Canis lupus familiaris: one gene and its partners. The protein of the gene in region 2 interacts with the protein of the main gene of each other region in a pairwise test. Links are inferred from orthologs where the notes say so. Each region holds a gene or a part of one and is shown on either strand. Other genes may lie near its edges. The genes, in order: SNX15, REEP6, NDRG4, LITAF, PTPN9 and SPG21.

Region 1 (4,182 bases), on a different chromosome or scaffold from region 2:
CTAGGTACATACTAAGAAAATATGGGTGCACATGTCCATAAAAAGAATTGCACATGAATGTTCATACAACTCGTAACAACTAAACATTAAAAAAAACAAAACAGAAAACATTTTTTTAGACATAACCTAGAAGTCTAGTAACAAGAAAATTAATAAAGAAATGGTGGTATATTTATACAAGGGGCTACCATCACATGGCAATAAAAAAGAACAAACTACTTCAACACGCAACAACATGGATAAACTCCAAAAAACATTATATAGAGAAGGAAAAAGGCCCGACACAAGCGAGTACTTGCTGTGTATATGATTTCATTTGTATGAGGCTCAAGAACAGACAAAAGTAATCTAGGGGAACAGAAGTCAGGACAACGGTTACCTCTCTGAGAGGAGGACTATAGATGAGAAACGTACAAAGAAACTCTCTGGGGGAGGGAAATGTCTATATCCTGATCTGAGCACTGCCAGTGCAGATGTATCCATATACAAAAATTATTGAGCTATACACTTAGGATCTACGTGCATTACTTACATAAATTATGTTGTGGAATTTTAAAAAATATTTTATTTATTTATTCATGAGAGACACACACACAGAGAGGCAGAGGCATAGGCAGAGGGAGAAGCAGACTCCATGCAGTGAGCCAGATGTGGGACTCGATCCTGGGACTCCAAGATCATGCTCTGGGCGTGAGGGTAGGCGCTCAACCTCTGAGCCACCCAGGCGTCCCTGTTTTGGTTTAGAAAATTTACAAGGCGAAACAACAAAAAACTGAGGAATACCAGCAAGTGACCGGTGAGACTGTGTGTAAATAATAAACTAGGTACACATAACTGCTTTTAAATATAAGGTTTATATGCAAGGATAAAGAAGGACATAGTGGCATTAATTCTCACCAAGATGGCAGATGAATGGGGATGGTAAAAGAGGGAAAATTACTTCTCTTTAAAAGTTATAATAAAAACATATCAAAGTAATGAATGTTTAAAAACTAACAGAAAGGGATCCCTGGATGGCGCAGCGGTTTGGCGCCTGCCTTTGGCCCAGGGCGCGAATCTGGAGACCCGGGATTGAGTCCCACATCGGGCTCCCGGTGCATGGAGCCTGCTTCTCCCTCTGCCTGTGTCTCTGCCTCTCTCTCTCTCACTCTCTCTCTCTCTGTGACTATCATAAATAAATTAAAAAAAAAAAAAACCAACAGAAAGATTTATCAGAAAAGAGTACAGTCCCTGGCCACCCTCCAGTCTAGTCTTCTTAGGGACTATCTTTCTGCATGTGTGTCTTGTTTTTATTTGACAAGGAAAAGACATAAAAGAAATAGGGAAAGTTCCTTTTAAACATCTAGGATTCTGCACCTAAATCACTTTGCAACTTCCCCTTAATAGTTATTAATGTACCATTTAATAGTCGCCTAATTAAAAATTCTTTTTTTTTTTTTAAGATTTTATTTATTTATTCATGAGAGCCACACAGAGAGGCAGAGACATAGGCAGACGGAGAAGCAGGCTCCCTGCGGGGGAACCCGATGGGGGATCCGATGTGGGGCCTATCCCAGGACCCTGGCATCACTGGCATCACAACCTGGGCCAAAGGCAGATGCTCAACCACTGTGCCACCCAGGTGCCTCTAGTTTAAAATTCTAAAAGTAATAAACAATTTACAGTGAAAAGTCTCCCCCAACCAGCTCTCCTATATATCATTCTGCAGATACTCTTTTACACTGTTTTTTAAATCCTTCTCGTGGTTCCCCCTATGTATCTGTAAAATGTGCCTATAACGTTGTTACTGCTCCATAATCAACTTCACTTTCTGTCTTCCAGCTCTGACTGCGAAGCTGCAGACCGACTTACTCTTTTTTTTTTTTCTGACTTACTCTTTAAAATTCTCTTTGAGCTGTAAGGATTTTTATTTTTAATTTTTATTTATTTATGATAATCACAGAGAGAGAGAGAGGTAGAGACACAGGCAGAGGGAGAAGCAGGCTCCATGCACCGGGAGCCCGATGTGGGATTCGATCCCGGGTCTCCAGGATCGCGCCCTGGGCCAAAGGCAGGCGCCAAACCGCTGCGCCACCCAGGGATCCCTAAGCTGTAAGGATTTTTAAAGTCATAGAGTTTTTTTGAAAGAAAATTAAAAATTAAACTAAAGAAAAAAAAGGGCTTTTATGTTAATATCAAACCAAGCGGTTCACACAAACCTAATCCAAGAAACTGGAGAACTAACATTTGCACGGAGCCAGAGTTTCCGTGCTAATTTGAAGAAATTCACAGCCCGCAGTGCTGACGCCACACGTAGGGCGTGGGAACCCGCCCCTCCCACTCCAAGAACTACGGTCCAAGCCCTTTTAAAAGGACAGCGCCCTCCCAGGGCCGCTCCACTGGACCGCTCCGAAGTAAGCCGGGGCTCTACCCGCAGGCTCCCCTTAAAGGGGAAATCCATTTCTGTCGTCTAAAAAGGGAGCGACCAGCGGCGCCTTGCCTTAAGGTAAAACACTGCCCCACCTCTTGTTAAAAGGGTAAAGGTCCCCACCCGGGCCCACCTCACCTGCGCGGTCACTTTATACTCGGTGTAGCCCTTGGGGTGGGTCCGGGGGTCCGAGACTGTGTAGTGTCGCAGGAAGTCGTCCTTCGCCTGGCGGGACATGGCAACCGAGCTGGAGTGGGGCTGACCGCCGGCCTCTGCCTCCTCAACGCCGCCCCCGCCCCTCCAGGTCAGTCTCCGCCGGGCCCCGCATCTCCCAGGCCTGCGCCCTTCTTCCTCGAGCCTAGGGAGCGGGTCGCAAGTGACGGCGCAGTCCTTGGCCTTGGCGTGCGGCCAGGGAGCGTCTAAAAAGTTCTCGGTGGCGGGTAAGGCGTGAACTAGGTAGTTTAAGAGATAAGAACCCGGGAGGTGGGGGAAAAAAAAAAAAAAAAAAAAAAGAACCGGGGAGGTGGGATCACTTAGCTGACAGGTGCTCGAGCTTTCCCCATCAAACGTGTCCAAACGACTTCTCCTATGCTTTCTGGTCCCCTTCGTTCATCCACTCACCCAACTTTTATTGTGCCGAGTGTGTGGCAGATGTAGCCAAATCATTTCCCTGTTTCCTTCCGTAGGATTCGCTAATTCATGTTTTCTGCAAGGGTAGGGGAAGCAAAAAAGAGCTCCAGAGAAGAGGATGGCCTCACAGGTTCTGAAGTCACACTTCTTACCAGTTGTATGAGTTTCCCTTAACTACCTGAGCTTAAGTTTCTCCTCTCTAGAACGTTTATAATGTTTCTAATAGAATCTACTGCAGTGGATGTTTCTTTCTTTCCCCTCCTGGTCTGTCCAGCATTCACCCCCACCTCTCTGTTAGCACCATATCTTTGTTTGGAGGTAGTTCTCTAATAGGTATAGCCCATCAGCCTCCTACTCCTGGAATCCAAAGGTGCCAGCTCCTTTCCTTGCCCCAAGTCCTGGGTAGGGGAGGAGGACTCTCCCCAGAAGCCTAATTCTTGAGTTTCTTGAGGGAGAAACAGAGTGCACAGTGCCTAGCAAGGGGACTGATTTGTTCATGATGTGCAATGCTGGCTGTGGGCTCAGCTGCCCAGCCTCTGGGCACCCTGTTTGTCAAACCTGATGTCTGGCATCCTGAGAGCTCCATCAGGATGCTGTCCCAAATCAGCGTTAGTATCTTAGTATCTTCCCAAGACCATCCTTTCTGCGGAAGGCAGTTGTGATCATTTCTGGGACAAGCTGTTGAGGACTCTGATGGATACCACCACAGCCAGGTTGTGAAGTTTAAAAGTGATAGCGTGGGTGAAGCGCTCAAGTGCTCACGGCCGCTCTTATGGTGGGCACCGTACTGCCAGTTTCCAGAAAGAGACAAAGGAAACTCCCAAATGAGACGGGTGGAAGCTCAGACATAGGGTAGATTATCCAGGAGGTGTTTGGGAGGAGACTTAGATGGGGTGGTGTCCCCTTGAACAACACACACCTCTAGAGATCCCTTTTATTTTTATTTTTTTAATTTTTAAAAAAAGATTTTATTTATTTATTCATGAGAGACAGAGAGAGAGAGGCAGAGACACAGGCAGAGGGAGAAGCAGGCTCCACGCAGGGAGCCTGATGCGGAACTTGATCCCGGGTCTCCAGGATCACACCCTGGGCCGAAGGCGGCGCTAAACCGCTGCCCGTAGAGGCCACTTATAGACATTATTTTT
Region 2 (4,012 bases):
GGCTCCATGCACCGGGAGCCCGATGTGGGATTCGATCCCGGGTCTCCAGGATCGCGCCCTGGGTCAAAGGCAGGCGCCAAACCGCTGCGCCACCCAGGGATCCCAGGCCCTGAGAGGTACAGAGTAGCTGTTTGTTGAACGAGTAAGTGACCATCCGCCAGTATAAGCGCCCTGCTCAGGTCCCATGGGAGGGGCTGGGCACCAGAGACCGGCGTCCGAATGAAAGTCACGGGAGAAAAACCCAAAAGTAAGGCCATTCTGTCATCCGGGCTGGATTCCCAGTAGCAGGGAAAGGCAACATTTGTGACTTTGATCTCAATGGAGTTTTTCATCCTCACCACTGCGGACAATCGGGGCAGGATCATCTTCGGTGGGGACGTCCTGGGCCCTGGGGTGCCAGGCAGCATCCCTGGCCCCCAGCCCCCGATGCCAGGAGCACCCCCAGTCGTGACAGCCACCAACGTCCCCAGTCACTGCCCGGTGTCCCGAGAGGGACAGCATGGCCCCGTGTAAGGACCCTTGTCTTAGCACAAGACAGCTTAGCACAGAGCCCGCTGCTTTCCCACCTGCCGCACAACACGGAGCAGCCTCAGTTTCCCCATCTGTCAATGGAGTGGTAATAGCCCTGTCTCCCAAGGTTGCTGTGGCGATAGCTAAATACCACTCAGCTCTACGCGTTTCCCGAGCACCCTCTAGGCACACACATGCTTTCCCAGTGGTAAATGAGGGCTCAGAGAAAACACCCCTGGGGGAGGCAGGGAACCAGGAGCACGAGCCACTCTGAAAGCAATGATGGTAAATACTGCATTTATTAAGTGCTTCTGGTGTGCAGGTCCCTGCACTTCCTCGCTGTAGCCCACTCAATGGCCAGAACACACTGGAAACTGGGGGAGTGAGACCCAAGGTCACTCAGAGAGCCTCTGGGCTCCTGGGAGTACTTTACAGCCTCCAGCCTCCTCCCCCAGGCTGTTATCTGCAGAGACAGAGGGCACTGGTGTGCCAAAGGGCAGAGTCACCCCCACCCTTCCCCCCACCTGCGTTGGTCTTTATCCCTAGGGCCTGGGGTCAGGGGAGGGAGGGGAGCCTCCCCAGTGGGCCCTAGGAGGTCTGGTCACCGTCTCTGCTGGGTTTCATCTATTGCTGTCCGGGCTGGGAATCTGATCATTTGGGGCAGCTGGGGCCCAAGAGGTCCCACATCTGGATGGGGGGGAAAGTTCTGGTTGGGAGGAGCAGCTTTCCTAGGGCACTTCCCCCCTCAATCCTTATTCCTGCAGCCTCAGCAATGGGTGGATGACCTTGGACATGGGGGGAGCACGCTCTCTGAGATCAGCAACAGATGGAGCTGGGGGGGCAGATGGAGAGGTGAGGAGGGAGGGGTGGATGCTCCAGACAGGGCAGGTGGCAGAGGCAGCCTCCCACGAAGCTCCTGACGCTAGAGGAGGGCCTCAGTTTCTTCCCTGTGACTCTCAGCTTCCCCAGGAGGCCCCTCCCCCCACTGCCCTATGACCTAGAGTCCCTGCCTCCAGGTACCAGGGATGTGGAAACGCGCAGAGAAGCCAGGGCAGGTTCCTGGCTGAGCTGACCTGCCCTGACACCGCAGGCCCCGGGAAGCAAAGCACCGGCCTTCCCTGGGCCGCTGGGCACGGGATCCCCTCTGGGGGAAATGGGAGGAAAGAGGACTCCCAGGATCTGCACACAGAGGTGTTCAGGACACACACCCTGTCCTCACCCAAAGCCCCCCTGCCACGTCTGGACAAAGTGTCCCTGTGATGCACCCCGGGTGTGTGTGTGGGGGTGGCTGCAGAACTGACGGGCCTGGTACACGGGAAAAGAGGGGAAGGAGGCATTTGAGGAGTGCTTCCCAGACAGTCTGGGACACTGGCAGGGGCCCCCCAAGGTCACCGAGGAGGAAAGGAAGAGGAGGGGTCCTGGAATGGTTATAGTCAGGAGTCCCGCTCCCCGGCTGTTGGGGCTCCTCTCTACACTCCCGCATCCACTACCCCTCCAGCCCCGTCACAGCCTCAGACAACCCAACCCAAGTATTCACGCACAGTGGGCCAAAGCCGTGGGGGGGGGTGGGCTCGCAGGAAACGGGAGGGAAGAGACGTGGGGGAGACCCTCCCGCCCCAGCAGGATGCTCCACTTGCTTCCAGGCTGGGATCCTTGTGGGACGGGGTGGCAAGACTCCAGGGCACTGGCCGCCTACCCGCCACCCTCTCCTCCCCCAGGGCGGACACAGCAACTGGAAGAACCGGACTTCGGCCTGGCGGTCACCCAGGGCCAGCAGGGAAGGGGCAGCGGCGGCCTGCGGCCAGACCCGAGGGTGGGAGTGGAGGTAATGCAGGGGCCGAGAGAGGGGGTGACACTCGCCCGAGATCGCACGACGAGGGCAGAGGACAGGCTGCTGGCAGACGCGAGGTCCTGGCGCACGACCCCTCCCCAGCATCTCCGTCTGTCTCCCTGCTGGACGGTGAGGTGCGCCCCGCCGTCCGAGCCCGAGCCCCGCAGAAGGCGCCGGCCGCGAGGGGTCGGGACCGGGGCCCCGGCGCCCCAGGGCCTCAGTGTGCCGGTCGGCGAAATGGGGCAGCAGTCCCGAGCGCCCCGGACGGCTCACCCGCGGCCAAGTACCGCTTGTCGACACCTGTCTTGGCTTCGAGAGCCCCCAGCGCTTCGGTGACCAAGTTCCTCTGTTCCAGAAGGTGCTCGAAGCGCTGGCGCAGGCCGTCCATGGCACCGGCGGGCCCGGGGCTGGCAGCCCGAGCTCGACCGCGGCCCCGCGCACCGGCCCCGCCGCGCGCGTGCCTCCGTCCCGCGGCGCGAGCAGCCCCGCTCCGCCCCCAGGCTGGTCTCCGCCCCCTGCCCCCCGCCCCGGCCAATGGGAGGGCAGGGCGGACAAAGGAGGTGGGGCCTGCCCCGCCTCCCCCGCCGCATTGCCCTCTGGCGGGCCGCGGCCGCCGCAGCCGCGACTCCGGGGGCAGTGGGCGGGGCGCCGCGGCTGAGCGCGCCGATTGGCGGACGGGCCGGGACGTGGGCGGAGCAAGGGGCGGGGCCACGGCCGGGGATTATTGGCTGAGCCGCCGTGGGGGCGGAGCCTCTGGCGGGAGGACCCGAGAGAGGCCGGAGCTGATTGGCGAGGGCAGGGGAGGGGCGGGGCTGATCATAAAGGAGGAGGCAGCCTCTCGGGGCAGGGGGTTGGGGCGCCCCGAGTCCGGGAGGCGGGACTTACTGGGACGCGCTAGTCCGCCGGCGCCGGGCAGGAGGCAGGGCTGACTCTCGGGGGCGGGGCCGAGGAGAGCCGCGGCGACCCGGCTCCTCTGGGTCGGGAGAGCGGGTCACCGTCCAGGTCGGGGACACTGAGGCTGCAGACGGCTCGGGTCTGCGGAGGCCCCGGGCGGCCGTGGGCGCCCCCCGACTCGGGCCGGATCTTCGCGCCCCTCAAGGGGGAGCCGCAAGGCCCCCTGGGAGTTGAAGCCTTCCTGGGGTTGCTATGGCCCCGGGGGCGGGGCGGGCGCCTGGGCCGACTCGGCGGTTTGCCCAGGGGGAGGGGCTTTCGGAGGCCCCGGCCCGGCCCCGCCCCCGCCGCCGCCGCCATGCGGCCCGCCCGGACTGCGCTCTGGCTGCGCCTAGCCCTGGCCCTGGGCCTGGCCCTCGTTGGCCCCCTGCCTGTGGGGTGGTCCTCGGCCCGGGCCCCCATCTATGTCAGCAGCTGGGCCGTGAGGGTGTCCCAGGGTTACCGGGAGGCCGAGCGCCTGGCGCGCAAATTCGGCTTCGTCTACCTGGGGCAGGTGGGTGGGACCCGATGGACAGGAGGGGCGGGGCCTGGACGACCCCAGACCCCGGCAGACGGGAGGGGTACTCAAGATGTCCAGAAGCCCCAGCCCACCCCTGCCTCGACCAGCTTCAGATTCTGGGGCCTCTGGGGGGCGACCGAAGCCCCCACCTGGGCACCTGGTTGGGGGGGAAGCAAGCCAGAGGTGTTGGCCTGTCCTGGGGCACTCCATGTCGGAGCCAG
Region 3 (2,817 bases), on a different chromosome or scaffold from region 2:
TTGGACTTTGACAAGACTCCTGAGAGCAAGCTCAGGTGGGCAAGCTCCACCTTCCTGGACTCAACTGGCCACCCATTCGGCTCAGGCATGGCTGGGCACCCTTGCCCCTGTGGCCAGGCCCGGGCAGTACCTCTGAGAGGCTCTGGTTCCAACAGCCTGAGCTGTGGAAGCCACGTGGCCCATGGCAACCCAGAAACCAGACTGCTCTAAACCCCACCCAAGCCTCATGTGGGATGCAGCCCACTTGGCCCAGGATCAGTGAAAAAGCAGGACGCTCTTGGGCTTTGGAGGCGAGCAGGACATAAGAGAGTTCCCAACCACAGCAAGATGAGGCCCGGCTGCAGCACCACACAGAGGCAGGAGCAGGGGGGACTGGGGCGGGGGTCCATGCATCAGGGGAGGGGCCACAGGGCTACCTGCTCCTCCACTCAGCCTTCGGTCCTTCAAGTATGCAACTAAGAGAGAAGACAGAGCCAGAGGGGCGGGGCGGGGCAGGGTGGGGCGGGGGGAGACACAGAACATGGGTGAAGAGTGTGATCCGGCAAGGCCGGGGTGTTGCAATGGGTCGGAGAGAGAAGACGACAAGACAGCAGGCACAGAGTGGGCTAGGGCAGGCCCAGAGCCTCAGGAAGCCCACCCCTGCCACCCACCAGAGTAGCAGCCCCGGAGGGAACCCTGACACCACAGTGGGGGCAATCCTCTTGCCCCCTCTTCTCCAGCCTGGGCTGCAGCGCTGAGGGCCTTGTGTTGACAGGGCTTTCTGGGGCCCATATCTGAGTGCCAGCACCTGCACCCTTCTGGATCTGTCTCCCCAGGTACAAAATGGGGGAGGCCTGCACCAGCTCCTAAATCCTGCCCACCTCTTGGGCTGCCTGGTGGTATTTCTCCCAGGGCCTTGAGCATATGTCCCAGCCCAACAAGCATTGCTCATCTCCTCATCTCACAGGTGTTCACTGAGAGCCCCCTGGGCTCAGGCCCAACCTCTGAGTTCCCACTGTGTCCCACCGCTAGCTTCGGCCTCTCTCTGCCCCACTTTTTCACAGAGAGGGAGCGCCTCTCCTGGCTGGGCCCCCAGCCTTCCCCTGCAGGCCTTCCAAGGAGGCACAAGCTCCAGGGACTGAGGTCTGGGTGGAGAGATATTCAGGTAGGGGAGTTCTGCTTCCAGCGGGAGGGCCAGGTATGTTCGGGAAAGGGGAGGAATCAAGTTGATAAGGTGTGAGTGTGCTTGCGTGCATGTGTGTATGTGTGCGTGGGTTTTGGAGGTGCTCTTGAGCAATCTGGGTGGCTCATCCCTGCACAAGAGGTGGTTTGGAGAGGGGAGGAGAGTGGGCATTGCCACCCCACAGCCCCTATCATTTTGGGGTCTTCACATATGCTACCCCCAGGCTCAGCTGCCTTCGGCTCTCTCCAAACACCCAGATGGCCCCACGCGCCTTTGTCAGGCCCCAGACTTCAAGACCACTCTGCTGCCCCTGGGACCATCCACCACTTGTGACAAAAGCCCTTCTCAAGTGCTGTAGGTCTGGCAGGGGAATGGGTGGTGTGTATGACTCACCTTTAGGTAGCCTTTCTGGGCAGGCCCCCACCCCAGGCTCTGGTCCCCCAGGCCTGGAAAAAGAGCCTACCATTTCAACATTGCCATGAGAACGTGTCCCACAGCCTCCCCAAGGGCATGGGAGAGCCAGACACAGCCTGGGATCATCTACTCACAACTCAGGTGGAGGTGCCCTAGAGAGTCTCCAGTCATAGTGGGGAGCATGTGGTGAGTGGCACAGCATCTGGGCCCTGCTGACACAGATCTCATATGCCCCCAGGCTGCTTGGTGTCACCTGCTGCTGCTGGTGCCAGTCCCACTCTGCCCCCTGCCCACCAGTCCCCAGGGCAGGGGCAGGGGGAAGTTAACTTACTGTAGCCCATGCCTTGCAGGAAGTATTTGAAGGCCTCAGTCAGCTTCCCTGGCTGCAGGACAGAGGGACAGTCACATGCTTTGATTGGCTGCCTGGGATTGGGGGGAGGGGAGGCTCCTCCCACCTGGGCTAAGATGAGGGAGAGAGGGCTCACCTGTGTGACCTGGGGGAGCCCCCCGGAATCTGCCATCTGCAGGGAAAAGAGGGGGGTGAGCTGGGCAGGGGTCCCCCCACACCTTGCCCAGGCCACCCTGAGCAGACACACTGTCCTGCTCCCTCCTGCCTGCCCTAGGACCCCAGGCAGGCCCCTCCCTGAGGCTGGGCCCTTGTCTGGGGAGGAAGTGGAGGAAGGGGAGGAAGGTCTCACCTTCAGGAAGGTAGTGGTGGTTGGGTCCAGTTTGGAGTTGCACTCCACCTAGGGATAAGGTCAACACAGTAAGGCAGCCCCAGCCCCATATCCAGGGAGCCCCCCACCCCAGTCACTAAGGCAGGGTCTGTTGCCAGGCCCGGAGACTGTACTGGGGAGGTTCAGCGTGCAGGGGGCAGACACAGGTGGCAACGCAGCCCTGGCTGAGGCTGCCCCTCACCAGGCTGCCTTCCCAAAGTCCAAGCCTCTGCAGGTAAGGGAGCAGCCCTTAAGGGCCCTGAGACCCCTGGACTCCCACCCATGGCTGCTGGCAGGGTAGGCCTGGGGCAGGGGCAGGGGCTGGGCCAGCTCCTCATGGGGAGCCAGGGGCCCCCTTGGTGGGAGTGGCTGAGGAAGACCCAGGGACCACAGGGGTCAGGCGGTGAGGTGGGGGAGGGCCAAGCATCGGCAGGAGGCTGAGGCCTGCGCCTGGACAGCACAGCCCACACCCCATTCCCAAGCCCTCAGACATAGGGAAGGCATACTAGTTTCTGTACACATTGG
Region 4 (3,940 bases), on a different chromosome or scaffold from region 2:
TCTTCTGTTGGTGTCTTAACTAAAGCCTGTGAAACTACACACAGTTCTACTGAAGTCATGTGCACCCGAGGGACAACTATATTAGCCAAGGAAGTGTTGCCAAAGCGGCCCAAAATACCAATAGGGGTTAAAATAGTAAGAAGAAATTGCAGGGACCTAGGAAAGCACCACTCTGAGCACAAATAACAATTTTAAGGTTAAGAAAACAAGTTCAGAACAGACCAGGGCAGGCCAAGTGGGCACCGAAGACATCATCAACATGTCTGTACTAGCGACAGGCAGAGTTAAGGAGGTCTGTCTACCTGATGAGATGGACCACCTCTCCCACTGGGCTACTGTCATTGCAGTAAAAGCATAAAGAAATACAAGACAGGTTGTACGTGGTGCCAAGGCTCTAGGACTTCCTCTTATGAGCCTTCTTTCTTTCACCATCACTGTAGCTCTGGGTTAATTCATCTTTGGTGTGGGATGCCTGGGTGGCTCAGTGGTTGAGCGCCTGCCTTCGGCCCAGGGCATTATCCTGGGGGTCCTGGGATCAAGTCCCACATCAGAATCCCTGCGTTGAGGAGCCTGCTTCTCTCTCTGCCTCTCTCTCTCTCTCTCTCTCTGTGCCTCTCATGAATAAATAAATAAAATCTTTTTTAAAAAATTTCATCTTTAAAAAAAAAAATTCGTCTTTGGTGAGAGAATTTTAAGTTCCAGATGGGCACTAGCCCCTTCTTAGAGTGGTATCATACATGCCTCCATTCTGTAGGGGTGGTTAACAGCAAGAGTATGTACTGCTGATCTCTCTGAAAATTAACTTAGGTTGGGTTGGAAATGCCTTCTGGCTCCTCCCTCCAGTGGTTCCCCTTTTATGGTCCAACCCTCATCTTGTCTGTGCCTCCTCTGAAGCTTTGCCGAGACCCTTCTGTGCCTCTGGAATGCTGCTCCCCATATCCACCTGCCCCTTCTGCCACAGAAGCACAGGCCTCAGCTTTGTTACTAAACCCACTGTGACTATCCTGGCTCCTTGCTCACACCTCCCTCCTTCCCACTCCCCTCAAGATCCTTCCAGGCATTAGAAAGCACTGAATTTCTCACCTGCATGTGTCTCCATTTTCGACCCACAGTGTAGACCCCTCAGGGCCAGGAGCCATTTCTCCTGTGTCTTTTAACGGGCAAGGGTAGCACTTTGTTCCCCCACAGCCAGCCCATAAAAGGGACCGAAGGAGCAGAGGGAGGTCCACTCACCAAATTATCTAGTATTTTAGAGATCTAAGAAATTGATCCTCTGTCTCAGATCAATCACCCAAGTCACTTAATCCACAATAACACGACAGGGATACTTTTCCAAACACGAATGAAAGCACCTATTCTTGATGCCTTGAAGTAACAGGAAAGAGGGAAGATGGGCCTCCTCCATACTAGGTATTTCTTAGAGAGGCTGGTGCACATTCAGATCCCAGACAAAGGCCGGCTTAGAGTTAAGCCAAGTGCGGCATAGGGTGTTTCCATGCCAGGTAGAACCAGTCACCTGCTCTCTGGATTCTGATCCAACTATGATAAAACCAAACACGGTGGTGGAGTCCCAGATACCAGCTCATGCCTCCCTTTACAATGGCAGCCCGGTTCGTCCTATTTTAAAAGAAGTACCCTGAAAAGGCTGGGGGTGGGGGTAGGAAGGTAAGCGAGGTAGTCAAGCATATACCAACACAAGCCATGTCTTTCCTTACAAGGGCCCCAGGGGAACTGCAGGGCTAACCCGCGTTCCAGGCAGCCCCTCAACCAGCACCAGGCTACCAGGCTACGAGGCCAACCGGAGGGATTTACCCCTCTTGGGAAGCCGGGTGGGAGAGTCTAACCTGACGGGTTAGGAAGGGGAGGCCGGTGGCTTCCAGAACCCAGGTTTCCCTGAACACCAAATGTCAGTCCAAAAAGTAATGACATCCGCCCCATGAATCAGAAGCACAAAAGTGACCAGAAAACCAGTGAAGGTCCAACTGGCCTGATGCCTGGAATGTACCGCCCTTTCCAGAATATGCCCATTTCCCCATCTCCTGACCTTGACCAGGAGGTGCGGACACAACACCAACCCCACTGCCCAGGTCTGACCTGCAGAGCAGAGGGGAGCAGCTCACCTGCCAGGCCTGGCGGGGGAGGGGTGACGCCCACCTCTGCCACGGGTTCCCCAGCCCCCAGCCCGTGCCGCCAGCACCCAGCCGACCCCGGCAGCGGGCGGGCCTGGGCCACCCCTGCACTCACCCGGGGCCCCCTGACCCGCGGGGAGGCGGGCTGGCCGGCGCCACGGCTGCCTTCGCGCTCGGTCCGCTCCCCCCGGGGGCTCCCGAGGCGCCCGCGCGCCCGCAAAGGCACCGGCTCAGGATGGCGGGGGCGGCCCTTAGAAGCCGAAGGTCTGAGGCCGGCGTCCGGGAACTCTCCGGGACGATCCCAGCGCGGGCGACCGGCCCACTCGGGGGCGCAGGGCGGGAACCCAGCCCGTCCCGCGGTCGGGGAAGCCGGCGCCGGCGGGCCCCGCGCGGAACAGCTCGGCCGGACCCCTGCGCCCTCCAGCCCGCCCCGACCCCCGGGGCCCGCGCGATGCCCCGGGTCTCCCGGCGGCGGCTGCTCCCGAGCCCGGGGCCAGGGCTCACGCCGCCGAGCCCGGCCCCCGCCCGCGCCCCCGCCCGCGCCCGCCCGCGCCCGCGCTGCACTCACCGCCGCCCGCGCCGCCAGTCGAGCCGGGAGGTCTGAGCGCGCGGTGCAGCCGAGCTGCGGGGCCGGCCGAGCAGGGGGCGGGGCGATCCCAGGCTGGGGGCGGGGCCTGCCGCGCAGGGGGCGGGGCTAGTCATGGCCGGGGGCGGGGCCGGCCGAGCAGCGGGCGGGGCGATCCTTGGTTGGGGGCGGGGCCTGCCGCGCAGCGGGGCGGGGCGAGCAGGGGGCGGGCCGGGCCGAGCCGAGCAGAGCCGAGCCGAGCCGGGGCCGGCGGCGGGGCAGCTCCGGCTCCCGCCCCTCCCTGCTCCTCGCCCACCCAGCGCAGCCTGGCGGGGTCCCTGCCCGAGGTTGCCCACCCTCCGGGTTCTGCCCCTCCCCTCCGCCCCTCGGGACACCCCGCAGAGTACACCCCGACCCGGCTCACTCCCGGGACGCCCCCGCTGACCTCGGAGCCCCCCATCGTCCGGTCCTGGGTCGCCCCTTGGGGATTCCGCTCCTACAAGTCGATCCCCTCCCCTCCGCGTCCTGATTCCCGCCTCCAGCTCTCCCCGCTCCCCTAGGCCCCCCATCTCTGGCATTCCTTCCTCCTCCCTACCCTCAGGCAGCGGGGGCCCATCAGCCTCCAGTCCCAGGTCCAAGGTTGCCTGCCCTCCGCAGGGCGGCCTTTCTCTCCCCAGTGCTCAGTCCTGCACATTCAGACGCATCCACACAGCCCGAAATACTCCGTGTGCCTTTGGGCAAGTCACGCACTCCTCTGGGCCTCGGTTTCCTGTGTATAAAATGGGCATAACAGTACCTGTCTCATAAAGTCTAAGAATGCACCGAGAAGGGTTTAGCACAGATTAGGTCTTAAATAAAACCAATCTGCTGTGCTACTACTTCCTAGGCCCCCAGGGTGGTCCACCACCCCTAGGTACTTTCTCCCTGGCTAAAAGCTCTGGAAGTCTGTATCTGATCCTCTGCCCCTAAATGGGTGCTGCCTGCCTATTTGACCAGAGCCTGCCTGCTAGAGTATTAACAGCAGCCCTGATCCAGCAGGGGACTCTGAGAAGTCCTCACCAGGCATTAAGGAGCCTGTGTGGCTTTCAGAGTACAAAGTCCTGGAGATGCAAGGAACCCTAATATGGCCATCTAGAGAAATGCCACTTGGGTGAAGAGCCTATGAGCCACTCGAGAGGGATTCATAGACCTGGATCCTACTGGACCATCCTCCAGTGATAGAATCCAGCTGCCTTTACAGTGAGAC
Region 5 (3,500 bases), on a different chromosome or scaffold from region 2:
TCTATATTCCTAAAAATCGCTCATCCTGTAAAGAAATGCACATGAAATAAATACAAATGTGGTAGGATCTTTGTTTTTCTGCATACAGAATGAGGTTTACAATGATAGATAATTCCTTACTAAGAATAATTGTTTTCCTATTGAGTTTGATTCCTAAGTTGGATGCTACCTGGGAACATCAAGATGTTTAAAACAAATGTCCTTGACATTTGTTTCAAAATGATTGAGGGGGGGATCCCTGGGTGGCGCAGTGGTTTGGCGCCTGCCTTTGGCCCAGGGCGCGATCCTGGAGACCCGGGATCGAATCCCACGTCGGGCTCCCGGTGCATGGAGCCTGCTTCTCCTTCTGCCTATGTCTCTGCCTCTCTCTCTCTCTCTCTCTGTGTGACTATCATAAATAAATAAAAATTAAAAAAAAAAAAATGATTGAGGGGGGGATCGGGATCACCCCAGTGGTTTAGCGCCTGCCTTCGACCCAGGACGTGATCCTGGAGACCCGGGATCAAGTCCCACATCGGGCTCCCTGCATGGAGCCTGCTTCTCCCTCTGCCTGTGTCTCGGCCTCTCTCTCTCTCTCTGTCTCTCATGAATAAATAAATAAAATCCTTTAATAATAATAATAATAATAATAATAATAATAATAATAATAGCCGTTAGGGGTGCCTGGGTGGCTGAGTCGGTCTGCCTTTAGCTCAGGTCATGATCTCAAAGTCTTGAGATCAAGTCCCACTACCTGCTTATGGGGAGTCTGCTTCTCCCTTCCGCTTTGCCCCCCTACTCGTGCTCTCATGTGCTCTCTCTCTCCAATAAATAAGATCTTAAAAAAAAGATAACTGCTGTTAAAGTCAGACTAAAAAGAATTTTATTTATAACAGGTGGGAGGAGTGAGGAACCCAGTCATAGAAAGTTGACCATTAAAGAAAGGGATTTAGAAAAGAGAAGGAAACCTTCCTCTTTTATCCCAGTGAGGAGAGGGTTTCCTTCTCTTCTATCTTGGTGAAAGTTAACACAGGAAAACAAAAATTTCTGCTCACTAGTGAGAATATTTTGCTTAGAGAAAAGGCTTCATGTTTATTTATCTTATATGCACCTTCTGAATAATGGGGAGTCACTAAGGGTTTTCAAGAAAAGGGTGGACATCATGAAAACAGTTTGAAGTATGTTTACCTGTGTGGTCTTCCTGTGGGATCCAATCAATACTCACACTGGAAAGAGCAAGCTTTGACCACTGCCATGCCTATAGGAGGGCTCTGACTGTAAGCTGCCCAAGAAGGAAGGCCAGTGAATTTTCTGGTAAAGGAGCCTTTCATTTATTCTCCTGAGCTAACGCATTTCAAAGGAACCTATGATCTGGAAATTATGTCTGAAGACCAATCATAGGCATAATTGGCAAGAAGAAATGAGAAATTTCACACTTCTGATTGGGCAGTACACGGCCCCTGTGACCACTGGTCCTCTCCTTCCCTTAGTAACTTCTCTTTTTCAGAATAATGCTGTATAAATACTATGGAAGTAACATTAACAAGTGAATTAGACAGAGAGGCCCACTTTGGACATCGTTTGGCTCTCTGCACCCTCTAAGTCCACAGTATGACTAAAGTTGTGCACAGCTATCTTTCACTATCTTAGGTTTCAGCCTTAAATATATCATTTCCAACCCATGGAAAGAGCCATGGGACTAGCCAATGACATCCAGTACGATAACAAACTGTAAATGGCAATCACCAGGGAATAAAGGAAGTATGGCAAAAGGACAACATAATAGGGTACAAACAGCTCTGGCTAAGAGCAAAGAAACTAGGATCTTAGGCCTAACTGGACTGATATGTGATGACTGTAACAGTCAGGCTTTGGTTTCTTTGCCCATAAAAGATCATAATACCATTTATCTTGTAGAAGGAAGGAGAAATGACCTGAGCTGATTCTTTTTGCTCATTGGTCTGTTTATAAAGATGATTTTGCTTAACTTTGTACTTTTGGGCCATTCTCTCCTGAATGTTGATTCTCAAAATCCTGAATTAAATGGCATTATTTTTATATTACAAACATACCAAGGTTCCAGAGTGTTTTGAAAATCAAAATTCAGGGCAAATGAGCAAAAAGCCAGTACATGTCATTTCCCCTTCACTTTCTCTCAATAAGTAATTCTCAATACACTGAGGATAATTAGTTAATTGGTTTTCTCAGCTTCTGTGATCCTAAAATAGAGCCAAGCAGGTAAAGATATAGAATACCCACCATCTTGATAGTACCTGGAAATATGCCAAGCCCTTAAGGACATGGAATGTTTTCTATTCATAGCATTTCCCAGGGCACATCCTAGAAGCATGGCGAAGGCACTGCTGAGTTCATCAAGTTAGTCAAGGACTATACTTCCCTATCTGGATGCAGACCAACTAAAAGGTAATCATCATGCTCACCTATCCACAGCTCTGTCTAGCAAGTAAAACAGAGCCTGAAGTACCACATGTTGGACTGACTTGTGAGGATGATGCAATCTGGCAGTGAAGAGAGCAATAGAAGCTCCTGTTGGGTCCCGAACATTCTAGAGCAAATCAAATGAGAAACATTTATAAACTAAATAGAGAATCACAACAATCACAGAGGCATCTTATATCCTAGATAAAAATTTCACACAGAGAGAAGAGATGCTGGCAATACTTCTCTGACCTGCATCAGTTGCTCCAGGAAGGGAAGAAAGCTTATTTCATCCCACTCCTGATTCTTAGCACCCCCTGGATCGTATTAGTTTGGCAGGAAAAAAACTACATTCTCTTAACTTGTCAATTGCAGAGAGATTAAAGGATGGTCTACACTTGCTGCCTAGCTAATTTCCCAGGTAGGATGGCAAAACACACAGCAGGGGGAAACCACGGAAGACAACCATGGTTTCCACGCTCTGCCTTAAAAGTAGCGTCGTATACTTATTCAAAAGGCTGTGGTCTCTAGGTGGAGAGAACTTGACTCCAATAAGGACGGGCCTCTGAAATACTACATACGCACCTAAAGACCCTCACTAACAATGGACCAATGAAGAAACTTTGCTCGATATACTGTACAACTGATTCTCAATAATTTCATTTGTTACTAGAATAATTTTGTGCAAACTGCACAGCTGCTTTATGTCTGCTCTTGAATGTTGACACTCTCTAGATTTAGGATAAGGTATCTAGGAACAAAATCCAAAGAGGACAACAGCTACAAAGGGAAATAATGAGAACAAGAAGGGTACATAAAGACTCACTAAGATGGTGAATTTCCCACTAAGGATCTCAGAACGGAGAGGTTCCTCATGAGGTTTCAGCTTCACAATGCCTTCCTTCCTTCGTGTTTCCTAAAAATAAAACATAGCAAGATAAATTAAAGTGAAAATACTGTGTATCGAAGACAGCTCTATGTAACCATCAAATCTCAGAGATAAGGGACTTTATTTATTTTTTTTTCTAAGTCCACCTTTATTTATTTATTTATATGATAGTCACAGAGAGAGAGAGAGAGAG
Region 6 (2,203 bases), on a different chromosome or scaffold from region 2:
CTGGGCCTCCTGCAGTGACATAATGGGAAACACACAGCTTCGCCTATGAAGTATTCCTGCCCAAAAGACTGAATGTGAAACTGACCCTCTAGATGTAACCACCAGTTCATGGGAAATACCAGGGACATAGAAACAAGTTAAAGGACACTGTGAGGCTGCAATCAGCCAAATCGAGACCGTGGGGGAATTCTACAGGGCAGATGAGCCTGTTTCTTCAACAAATTCATGGCAAGACAAAAACAATAATTTACAGTTTAAAAGAGATTTAAGAGACATTCCCACTAGGGGAAGACAAGAAGGTATGAAAAGTACTTGGCACATACTAACAGCTCAATAAATGAGAGCTACTGTTAATTTACAATGAGCAAACTGCACTTTGGTGAGAGTAAGTCACTTACCTGATGTCACCAAGAACTAGCCAATGACCCCATGGTCTGCTTTGCAGAAAGTCCTATGTCTATGCAGTCCAGTTGGGCAGCTACAATAATCACCAAAACCACTCACTGAAATTGAATTTTTATTCCAAATGACTGTAATGGCTAGAAAGACAACAGATAAAACTGAAAATGATCTGCTTAACTGGAAATTAGAAGTAGCTGATTTTGTAGGAGAGCAAACGGTGGGGTGACAGACAGCCTTGGCACTTGATAACGGTTATAACCAAGAAAGCATAAAAATAACCGATGTCCTTCTGATACACAATCTGGATGTGCAGCATTTACAGCAAATATCATAAAAAGAAAGAAAGGAGGAAAGAAAAGAAAAAAACTCCACAAAATCCCAAACCTCAAAAATCAACATTCTCTTAAGAACACAGTGGTGAGAAGACTTTTGGTAGCAAAATTTTCACAATTCTTAAAGTGAGAGTCTTCAAAAGTACTTCCTCAAATTCAAAAGCTAAAAAAAAAAAAAAAAAATGCAGAGGGAACAGTCACACTGGCTTAGAAGAGCTGCCGCCTGTCACAAAGATGACAATCAGTCCTGCTTCCAAACACAGTGATGACTGGCGAGCCTGACAACTGAACAGAGCCTGCCTGGCGGGTGCTGACGCAGCTGATTGTACAAGAACTCTCTGGATCACTCATCATCAACAGGCGACAACAGAGCTACTGCTCCTCCTGACTGATGCTCAGGCTGCCTTTCTGCACCTCTAGTTCCTCAGCACTGACCATCGACGGGTCGATGGCCGCGTATTTTGTTCCATGGAATTGTAGCAAATGGATCTGTAGAAACACAGAATCATTATTTTAAATGTCACAGTAACACATAAATGTTTTAAAAAGGTTTTATTTATTTATTTGAGAGAGTGAGAGAGCGCAGAGATGAGAGGGAGAGGGGGAAGCAGACACCCCCTGAGCAGGGAGCCCCAACATGGGGCTTGATCCCAGGATCCCGAGATCACAACCGGAGCCAAAGGCAGACACCCAACCGACGGAGCCACCCAGGTGCTCTAGCATATAAATGTTTATAGTTCTAAAATTATAATGTAATTAGAGAAAAACTGGAAAACATAGAAAAGTCAAGTATTTTGAAAAACCACAATGTGGGATCTTTGTTCCCTATTTAATATATAACAGGTCTCTCCAAGTTCCTATAAACTCTTCATCAACATCTCAGAGGGTGGCACACCACTCTGTGAGTGGGTGTTTACCCTCCTGCTTTGCTGCTGTGACTCAGGTCCTCCCCCGATCCTCTGCTGTTCTGTGTGAGATCATGATCAATGTCTCCTGGCATCAGGTTTTTTTGAATTTAGGGTCTTCTCCTTAGGATCCATGCCACAAATAGATGGCAGGACCTAAGGATGTGACTGGTTTTTGAAGCTCTTGATACTTCCTACCGAACTGCCAAAGCAATAATTTCTCACTGCTATTTTATTTTTTCTTAAAGATTTTATTTATTTATTCATGAGAGACACAGAGAGAGACAAAGGCAGAGACATAGGCAGAGGGAGGAGTAGGCTCCATGCAGGGACCCTAACGTGGGACTTGATCCTGGGTCTCCGGGATCACGCCCTGGACCAAAGGCGGCACTAAACCACTGAGCCACTAGGGCTGCCCTCTCACTGCTATTTTAATATCCATTTGGGTAGAAGATGAAGTGGCAGCTTTTGCTAGTTTGTGTGCATGCGTGCGTGTGTATATGTTAAGTTATATTTAAGTAATCTCTACACCCCATGTGGGACTTGAACTCACAACTCCCTGAG

What was found.
Region 1: the proteins of REEP6 (region 2) and SNX15 interact in binary tests that used the Homo sapiens proteins (3 or more experiments, as listed by UniProt). The two-hybrid records come from large-scale screens. The link is inferred for Canis lupus familiaris from reciprocal best matches to the Homo sapiens genes REEP6 and SNX15.
Region 3: the proteins of REEP6 (region 2) and NDRG4 interact in binary tests that used the Homo sapiens proteins (3 or more experiments, as listed by UniProt). The two-hybrid records come from large-scale screens. The link is inferred for Canis lupus familiaris from reciprocal best matches to the Homo sapiens genes REEP6 and NDRG4.
Region 4: the proteins of REEP6 (region 2) and LITAF interact in binary tests that used the Homo sapiens proteins (3 or more experiments, as listed by UniProt). The two-hybrid records come from large-scale screens. The link is inferred for Canis lupus familiaris from reciprocal best matches to the Homo sapiens genes REEP6 and LITAF.
Region 5: the proteins of REEP6 (region 2) and PTPN9 interact in binary tests that used the Homo sapiens proteins (3 or more experiments, as listed by UniProt). The two-hybrid records come from large-scale screens. The link is inferred for Canis lupus familiaris from reciprocal best matches to the Homo sapiens genes REEP6 and PTPN9.
Region 6: the proteins of REEP6 (region 2) and SPG21 interact in binary tests that used the Homo sapiens proteins (3 or more experiments, as listed by UniProt). The two-hybrid records come from large-scale screens. The link is inferred for Canis lupus familiaris from reciprocal best matches to the Homo sapiens genes REEP6 and SPG21.

Annotation. Positions count from the first base shown.
Region 1 is NC_049239.1:52,668,194-52,672,375, forward strand, and holds the start of SNX15 (sorting nexin-15), read right to left. Parts: upstream 2,801-4,182; 5' UTR 2,645-2,800; coding exon 2,546-2,644; intron 1-2,545. UniProt on the Homo sapiens protein: May be involved in several stages of intracellular trafficking. Overexpression of SNX15 disrupts the normal trafficking of proteins from the plasma membrane to recycling endosomes or the TGN.
Region 2 is NC_049241.1:57,835,443-57,839,454, forward strand, and holds the start of REEP6 (receptor expression-enhancing protein 6), read right to left. Parts: upstream 2,801-4,012; 5' UTR 2,730-2,800; coding exon 2,615-2,729; intron 1-2,614. Other genes in the region: PCSK4 (proprotein convertase subtilisin/kexin type 4), read left to right, coding at 3,591-3,785. UniProt on the Homo sapiens protein: Required for correct function and survival of retinal photoreceptors. Required for retinal development.
Region 3 is NC_049223.1:57,417,392-57,420,208, forward strand, and holds the end of NDRG4 (protein NDRG4), read right to left. Parts: intron 2,323-2,817; coding exon 2,275-2,322; intron 2,098-2,274; coding exon 2,062-2,097; intron 1,960-2,061; coding exon 1,908-1,959; intron 1,786-1,907; coding exon 1,711-1,785; intron 1,622-1,710; coding exon 1,353-1,621; 3' UTR 501-1,352; downstream 1-500. UniProt on the Homo sapiens protein: Contributes to the maintenance of intracerebral BDNF levels within the normal range, which is necessary for the preservation of spatial learning and the resistance to neuronal cell death caused by ischemic stress.
Region 4 is NC_049227.1:31,518,755-31,522,694, reverse strand, and holds the start of LITAF (lipopolysaccharide-induced tumor necrosis factor-alpha factor), read right to left. Parts: upstream 2,801-3,940; 5' UTR 2,698-2,800; intron 1-2,697.
Region 5 is NC_049251.1:38,781,678-38,785,177, forward strand, and holds part of PTPN9 (tyrosine-protein phosphatase non-receptor type 9), read right to left. Parts: intron 3,335-3,500; coding exon 3,245-3,334; intron 2,546-3,244; coding exon 2,421-2,545; intron 1-2,420. UniProt on the Homo sapiens protein: Protein-tyrosine phosphatase that could participate in the transfer of hydrophobic ligands or in functions of the Golgi apparatus.
Region 6 is NC_049251.1:29,779,575-29,781,777, forward strand, and holds the end of SPG21 (maspardin), read right to left. Parts: intron 1,224-2,203; coding exon 1,107-1,223; 3' UTR 501-1,106; downstream 1-500. UniProt on the Homo sapiens protein: May play a role as a negative regulatory factor in CD4-dependent T-cell activation.